Linked DNA regions of Caenorhabditis elegans. The protein of the gene in region 2 purifies or fractionates together with the protein of the main gene of each other region. This does not show direct contact. Each region holds a gene or a part of one and is shown on either strand. Other genes may lie near its edges.

Region 1 (3,035 bases), on a different chromosome or scaffold from region 2:
CGTTAGTGTAAACCCGTGTGATTTGTGACTAGTTTTGAATTACGGAAAAAAACATAAATTATTTTCTGCTCAATTACGTGAACAAATGTATTATGCATACGACTTCCTACATTAAACAAATTTTTTTCAGACTCCCTCTGTCTTTTTGAAGGAATTCGATGACTTTTTGATCTATTGAACTTAATTTTCTGTTGTATCCGTAGATAAACGGAATATTATGTGATTTCACGTGATCACAGTTTCGATAATTGTGAAAAAGTTACAGGTATTATATATTGCAAATCATCAAGACGCGGCACTTCCCTGAAATTGTATGTTGTTATCTGTAAAAATTAGGTGTCCAGGGCAGGACAATTTCACAAAGAAAACTTATCAAACCAAACTCCTAATGTGTCAAAAAAGTATCAAAGGTTTTGAAAAAAGTGTACTCATTTTTCGCTGTTCAATCAATAATTGTGCGCGAAAAGCTTTCAAGCTTCAAGATAATTCTAGAAACTCAAGAAAAGCTTGCAACGAGCTTTCAGCGTTTCAAGCAATAACAGTCACGTGTACATGGTGTGCAGACCGGGCAAGTTCCAAACTCTAAAATCATAATGATACACATTTTTTCAATTGTTCCCCACTCTCCTGGATTGAAGCTTTTTGGATTACAGTCCTTATCAGTACTATTATGATTCGTTATTAGACTTGAGGCCCTTTCTAAAAAATAAGGTCCAATACATTTCTGGTCACAATTATTCTATATTTATCAAAATTCTGGTTGAAACTTTTAAAAATCGAAAATTTATTGGTAAAAGTTTCAAACAAGTAAAAATTTCAATGATCCGTTTATGGGCATTCGTTAAGCTTGGTGCACACATCCTTTGGAGCGGTTCCTCCTTCCAGCTCGTGAATGATTGGGTCTACCTTGCTGTTGACGTAATGATCGCATTCTCTGGTTCCGAATGGGATGGTGTGGAAAAGCTTCTTGCATTCAGCATCGAAATCCTAGAATATTCAAGAGTTGTTGGTTTTTTTCTAGCACGGATTTATTACCTTCTTGATGACATTGGCATCCTTATCGGCGGATCCTTCGTATTTCTTGACAACCAACTCACACATTTGACAGCTCAATGCGCTTCTATTTTCTGGGATGGCAAGTCCTGAGGCAACGGCGACCAAAACGGCTAGTACAAGAAGAGTCTTCATTCTGTAATAAAATAAATTGAAATGAAACACTGAAGCATCAAAACGCAAGGAAGAATTGAAAGAGCACGCGGTGATAGGGGCGCATTTATAGCAAAAACTTCCCAATTTTGATTACTTGACCATTTGATAAGAAGCAGCGTCGAAAGCGGAGAGCATAATGTATGGAATAGAAAAAAGGTTACAGATCGACAACATATGCATTAAACTCGTGATAAATAGGAAAATTGTCCGGCTTGCAGGAATGTACTAAACATTTATACTATGTTGCAATGCATGATAACTGTTTTTTAACGATCCAGATGTATGACATTTAGAATAACGTCAACTTACGTTGTTATTTGTAAATATATTTAAACTTTCTTTGGATAGAACGAGTAGGTAATGTACAAATATAAACTCGTTTATGATCAATTTTTTGCGAACTTTCAAGTTAATATAAACATTTAGTATTATTGCCACGCCACGACATAAACATGAATTTAAAAAATTAATGAAACTATATTTTGAATATATAACTGTTTTCGAGTAAAAATACCACAAAGTAAGAGAAGTAGGTGTTTATTTTTTTCCAGAAATATATTACTGTTTCGGCGGTAGTATTTAGTTTCCACAACGTTTCAGTGTTTTATTCCGCTCTGATGTTCATCTGGAAAAATAATGTTGTTCAACTTATTCAATTTTGTAAGACTGCAAAAATAGTCATCAAATAAGTTTAGATTCATAGTAAGTAAAAGTTGTTTAACAAAATAGTGTCCACTAGATTTACCGAGAGGTTCGAGGCAATGGATTAGTTTTAGATAAAACTTTATTGTTTCTGAAAATTATGAAAGGACTTGTGGCATTTGTATTCGGAGCGGTTTGAAACAACATTTAATATTTTTTTGCAACTATATCTTTGAACGTGAGGTTATTCATTCCGTTTCAGATTTTCCCGCATAGACTGTTTCTATTAACTTCCCTAGAAACCTAAGATCCTTTGTATGATATTATAACCGATTTATGACTCAATATCGCATAACTCTAACAAAAAACTTATCATGTGGTAACATTCAAAATATTCGCACATTGTCTAGCTTTAAGAGTCAAAATTAATTCACTCCCTATGGGAAAAGTGTTGATATAATTTTTCATTTCCTTGTCTTTGCTTCTGATCTCCCATTGTGAATAGGGAATTCAAAATTTTCAATCGAAGTTTTGGTAACTGGCCTTTTTTAAGTAAATTTTTTGAAAAAAAAATGGAAGCGATGCAGCAGGTTTAAAATTTCTATATTGGTCAATGACAACTATTTAAAACATGGTTAAAAATTGGCGAAAATTCAAAAAAACATGTTTTGGCCGACTTACAAAAGTATAGTCATATTTAACTGAGTTTTCAACCAATATCATCGAACTAACTGCTCATAGATAATTTTTTTCTAACGTTTTGCGTTTTGATATTGGGTCATTTTAACAACATATAAATGCTTTTAAAGATTTTCCCAAATAATGATATTTTGCTTTGAAATGTTGGACAGACAATGTACCAAGACCATGTCAGAATTAAGACAATGCAACAATGTTCATATGGAAAGACTGCATCAGATTGAGACCTATTAATTATAAAATTTCAATAATTTAGAAATTTTAACAGACAAATCAATTATTTTCACTTTGTCAGTTCCTCGCCTTTGGCTCCCATAATTACACGTGCATCCATCACAGCTTGAGAAGCTTTTTGTGCAGCAATAATGGCTTTAGCTATTTTCTTTTTGGTGAGCGTCTCGTTTTCTTTCCGTTCTTGTTCCGTCAATGTTGGGATTTTTTTCAGTACATCGTATTGGTCAAGAGCCTGTTGACATTCAACCCTA
Region 2 (5,284 bases):
AAGCGGTGGGGTTTATGGATTTCATTTTATAATGTAATGTGCTCTTCCCTAGAATTGAATAAGCTTACAACTTGAATTACGACTTGAATTACAACTTGAATAAGCTTAAAATATCCACCAAATTTCAGCAAGCCGAAAAAAAATTCGGAACAACTTTCGAATCAGTCGCTGCTCATTCGGACTTCGTCGCAAAAATTAATTTTGCCGGTGACCTGAACTGTAAAATAGAAATCGATGGGAAATTCATACTAGCGTACGCAACTCCAATCGCCGAGCAAGAGGTGAACATTGTCGATGCTAGCTCATTCTTCTCGGGAGCTGCTGATAAGGATTTGGATGGTGTCAATGGTACCAAGCCCACCTACATTGTCTACGGTCCCATTAAATAATGGAGGGTCTAGCTTTAAAGATTTCTGTATATTAAAGCTGAAATGTGAATTAATTGTTTATTTGCCAATCACAATAAAGTTGGAAATATCATTTGAATAGTTCGAAAGTTTTCAATCGGAATGGGAGAAAATTCGAAAATTTAGGTGGAGGTGAAAAGTTGATGAAGTAACACAATTAACTGTGCTCGAATCCTGAATAGAAGGAGAAAAGAGCCTATAAACAGATTTTCAATTTACACATATTACACAACAATTCAGGAAGAAGACAGTAGTTGCAAAAGAAAATACGTAGAAAAAAGAGTGAAGGACTGGCGGGATGTCAGTTTGGATGTACAAATAGAACTCCTGAAGCATAAGAAACAGAAGAATCGACCGATGATCGAACCTGAAATGGATTTATTGTTGATTGAAAAATATTAAGCAATTCTGAATCTCTACCTTGTTTGATTGTGTGTAATGCAAGAATCTAAACTCGTGAGTGTGATTGTTACTGATCCGGAAATGTTCGGCTGCTTGCAGCATTATCAATATCGGATTACGCCCACAAATCGTGTTCTGGGTCTTTTTGAGGTAGTCATTAAAAGCTGCCGGATTAAGCGTCTCAATTGCGCTCATTCCCTGCTTATCCATATTGGTTATCTGCTCATAAATCGGAATAGAACTATGACGATCGTACGGAGAAAAGCTGAAGCGTTCTCCCCAATGGCAAAAGTCCGAAGAGATCACAAACAAGTTTCTTGGATCCTCCATGTAATGAGCAAAAATATTTCCATACGTTTGCTGCCTAGATCCTGGTAAAGATCCAACAAGTACCGGAACAATGGTGTAACGTTTTGAACCCATAACCTTTGCAATAAATGGGAGTTGCATTTCAATACTATGCTCTGATTCTTCATCTCGGCGATCCATCAAATCGAAATGACGAGTGGCACGAAGCTCCTCGTTAACTGCAAAGGGCAATGTTGTAAAAGATGTACTAAGAGTGCAATAGATTACTTTTGTGATCAACGATCAAGTCGCCGAGTGGAGTTCTGTACTTGCTGCATGTGGTTATAGCACATCCATTTAGAGCAACAACGTGAGATGGGCCAAGAATGAAGACTCTTTCACTGAAAGTTATTGAGTAAGCCCTGTTGCCAAGTACAAATTTCAACAACTCACACTGCTGATGAAACAACTTGTTTGAAAGCATATGCAGCTGTTTCTCCACAATACGAATATCCCGCATGTCTGAAAGTTATCAGAAAATAAATATTAAATGCATTTAGAGTATTACGGTGAAATCAACGCTCGAGCCGTTCCAATCCGTGGACCGGCGTTGTCAAGCCATTTTGTGAGTTGCCGATCAAGATCTCGCTGGTTGGCGTTGTACCATGATCCGGCATGTGAGGCAGATCTCGTGTGCTCGCCGAATCCGTTTAGTGACATTTTAAATTCAGATGGTCTGAATATTAAAGTTTTGATAAATTGTTGTATACGACTTGATTAATATGTTTAGTAGGGTTTTCAACTACTGTGTGTTTCCCAAATAGTCAACATTGAAAAATGGAAAAGTTTGAATTTAAATATTCAAATAATTTTAATTAATTAATATTAAAATTCACAATACAGTGTAACATCACACTTAATTCAAGATGTTCTAAAAATATGAGCCATCGGGCTAGCTCTACTTCACGAATTCGAATCAAGTCCGGGGAACTGGCTCGAAAGAAAATAAATTTTTAATTTGGTTTATGTCCGAAATAGAAATGGGAATCTGGTTTTTCATTCTGAATAATTTCCGAGAAACACTTACAAAATAAAATTCAGATATCTTGCAAAAGGAAGGCCAAATGTCCTGAGAAATAGAGCACGAGAGTTTTGAAATACCTGCAACAACAGGATTTGCTTCTATTTTGTTTTTTGAACTGAATTTTAAACTATTATCTATTCTGAAAACATTTTTTGTCCAAAAAAAATCAAGAACAATTTAGAGCAAAATGTGGCAATCCGAAAATGTTGATGCAACAAAAAAGTGTTTTTTTTTTCATTGAATTTCAGTTTTGAAAACTGATTTCTTTCCAAAAAAAAAACGAAGGAAAATTTTGAGAAAAAAGTGAAAATCCAAAAATGCTGATTTTGGTTTTTTTTTCAAAAAAAAAGCATTTTGCAAAGTGTGTGCTTTTTTTCGAAAGTTTCAGAACCTTGAGACAAAAAACCAAAATTGTGTTCCCGAGTGAAGCCCGCCACGTGGACATGGTCAGACGAATCTTGTTCGTGTTCGCAGCCAATTTTCATTTTTGCTGAACGCATAATTGTTCAAAGAAGATTCGGTCTAAAAAGACGAAATTGAAATAGATTGTGGAATCCTTTGAAATTTTCTTTTGACAAAAGGTCACCGTTATTCAAAAATTGAGATGGTCTCGTGACTAAAATTAAACAATCAAGATAATCATGATTGTGGGCCTGTTTTAAAATACACTTTTCAAAAACGAAATGTAGGCTCCAATCCAAACTGCGCATCAAGACCAAGAATATAAAATTTTTAAACTCGGGAGACGTAGAGAAACTTTGAATATTAAACATCGCCGTCAAGTTTCCGTCAGAGCGCGCCTGAAATTTTTTAGAGGCTTCTTTCAAAAAGCTACCCATACAAATAATCATAAGAAAAACGTTTTAAAACTTTGCATTCCACCCAAAAATGTCTGAAATTACCCGTAAAAAGAATGTGTGAAGGGAGTGATTTGAGGGTTCTGTCAAACAGTTTGACTGTTTCGCGTTCGACGTGTCTCGACGTGGATGGTATTGAAGAGGACCGCGCTGATCTTGTGCTGGTCGTCGTCGTCTTGTCGGACCGCCGCGAGTAGTCTTCAGTCTACCAATTACCTGAAAATTTGACACTTTTTGTGATGTGAAACTGGCTGCCTGAAGCAATGCCATATAATAATCATAATAATAATAATGAAGAGGGATGAGGATGCATGCCAAAAGAATGAAAGGAAAGACGCTCTTCTACAACACCAGCCGATAGTATTTAGAAGAAAAAGAAGACTAAAAAGAGAGTATTGGGTGATGGGAGAAAGAACACAATAGGGGAGGCAGTGAAATAGAACGAGAACAATGGAATCGGCAGACATTTGACACTAGAGGGGCCACTGTTTCAGTCTTTTTCGCACTTGAATATTGGAAGAGGGCCAAGAAGGGGAGTTCCAAGAATGGAAAAAGTGGTAGGTTTGTAGAAAATCTGCCTTTTTTTTTTTAAAATTTCGTGTTCACTACTTTATTTCGTGTTCACTCGTTTATGTCTTCCATTATAGGCAGGCAAAGTTTCATGCCTACATACCTGCCTCATGCCTATTTGACTTTCAATATAAAACTTGATTTTTGGCATTCTTCATTTTATAACAATTGTAACTAATAATAAGCTTTGCAAAGTTTTCTGAAAGAAATTGTCTAAATTTTCCTGGTACACTGAACATTTTTCGGTATAAAATCTATGCGTATCAAGCCTATTTCTAAGAGCCGTAAGTATTTTCAGCTGAAAATGTAAACCACGGAGTCAATATTTACTTCGTATCATCCATCTTCCATTCCGTCTTGTTTACACCTACGGCAGGTATTTAGACACGAATGATTGTTTTTCTCGTTGCCTAATACTTTTTCCCCCGAAATATTCCCATATTCCAGTTCTGAACAATGCACTTTTCAGCGGTCATCGGGTCCATCCAGCCCTCATTCAGCCCTTTCATTTATCTTCGTTTCTACTTTTAGACGAAAATGCAAAAAAAAGAGAAAAAGACACTCTCTTTTGACGCTCACATTCGCTCACATTGCTGTGGTAGAAAAACACTCACTCGGTGGCTGCTGGGAAGGGAAAACGAGAAAATGTTTGGTCACGCAATACGCCTATATCTTTGATTTGACTTTGAATCTTTATACATTTTTCACGGGGTTCAAAAACAATTATGAAGAAAATTGTTTGATTAAATTAGAATGTAGATTCTTTATATTTTCAATCAAAAATTAATTTTGGAAAAATAACTATCCAAAAAACGAAAAAAGTAATAAATGAGTACTTGAAAGTGAAATGGGGCAATTAAACAAGATAAAAAAGACTAAAACGTGAGACATCTCACAACGGGTCACGGGCAAGAAGTACACGAGAAATCGAACGTGAGTGGGGAGGCAGAGACACTCAGCTGACTGCCTGGCCTGACGCTCGCTCACAAAACGCTCTCACTCTCTTCCTCGCTTTGCCCGCTCTCCGCCCCGGGTCGTCAGTTCGGTCGATCCATGTTTGTTCATTTTTATAGGTGAAAATTTATGTAAGGGAACGGAAAATGTAAAGTGATCGTGGGAAAATAGAAAAACAATTACATTGTAACTTTTCTGGACCAAGTTGTACCCAGATGCAATATGTATATTTTTCTCAGAAAATACTGTGTTGGGTTTCGACAGGATCGATTTATCAAAAGCAAACGAGTGTGCGTCTCAACGAGCACTAAAGTTCCCAACTAGAGCATCCTTGTTGTGGTAGAACTACATAGAAATTTTTAATTTTGATTTCAATAGCTTTTCTCTTGTTTTCTCAAAATTTATTGAAAAACTTATTTACTATAAAACGACCAACGACGGATCTGGAAACTACAGTACTCCTTAATGCAAAAGGCAACGAAAAATCAGCCAGTGACTTATTTTTTGTTCTGGATAAAAATCGGGAATATTTGCATTTTGAATTCGCACTGTATCGATAAACAAAACACCGAAGATCACGCCAAAATGACTATTGTAACTAACAGGTACGAGAAAGGGACGCTTGTTCTACAAAAATAATTCAACAAATTTTCCCCAAAAAAATGTGAAGTCCGCAATTCTCGTAGTTTTACGTAAATCAAACCGAGCATGACACTCTGACA

What was found.
Region 1: the proteins of memo-1 (region 2) and spp-5 fractionate together in Caenorhabditis elegans (co-fractionation; one large-scale study listed by BioGRID). This does not show direct contact.

The regions. Positions count from the first base shown.
Region 1 is NC_003284.9:7,319,166-7,322,200, forward strand, and holds spp-5 (Saposin B-type domain-containing protein), read right to left. Parts: upstream 1,190-3,035; 5' UTR 1,189-1,189; coding exon 1,036-1,188; intron 988-1,035; coding exon 829-987; 3' UTR 772-828; downstream 1-771. Other genes in the region: T08A9.13 (uncharacterized protein), read right to left, coding at 2,834-3,035.
Region 2 is NC_003283.11:7,843,911-7,849,194, forward strand, and holds memo-1 (Protein memo-1 homolog), read right to left. Parts: upstream 3,084-5,284; intron 2,704-3,083; 5' UTR 2,627-2,703; coding exon 2,573-2,626; intron 2,259-2,572; coding exon 2,185-2,258; intron 1,834-2,184; coding exon 1,666-1,833; intron 1,620-1,665; coding exon 1,551-1,619; intron 1,499-1,550; coding exon 1,386-1,498; intron 1,337-1,385; coding exon 828-1,336; intron 775-827; coding exon 709-774; downstream 1-708. Other genes in the region: grd-8 (Ground-like domain-containing protein), read left to right, coding at 1-5, 129-389. UniProt on the Caenorhabditis elegans protein: Plays a role in the oxidative stress response and the maintenance of longevity by regulating the interaction between GTPase rho-1 and oxidase bli-3. In turn, this serves to modulate bli-3 activity and the control of reactive oxygen species production.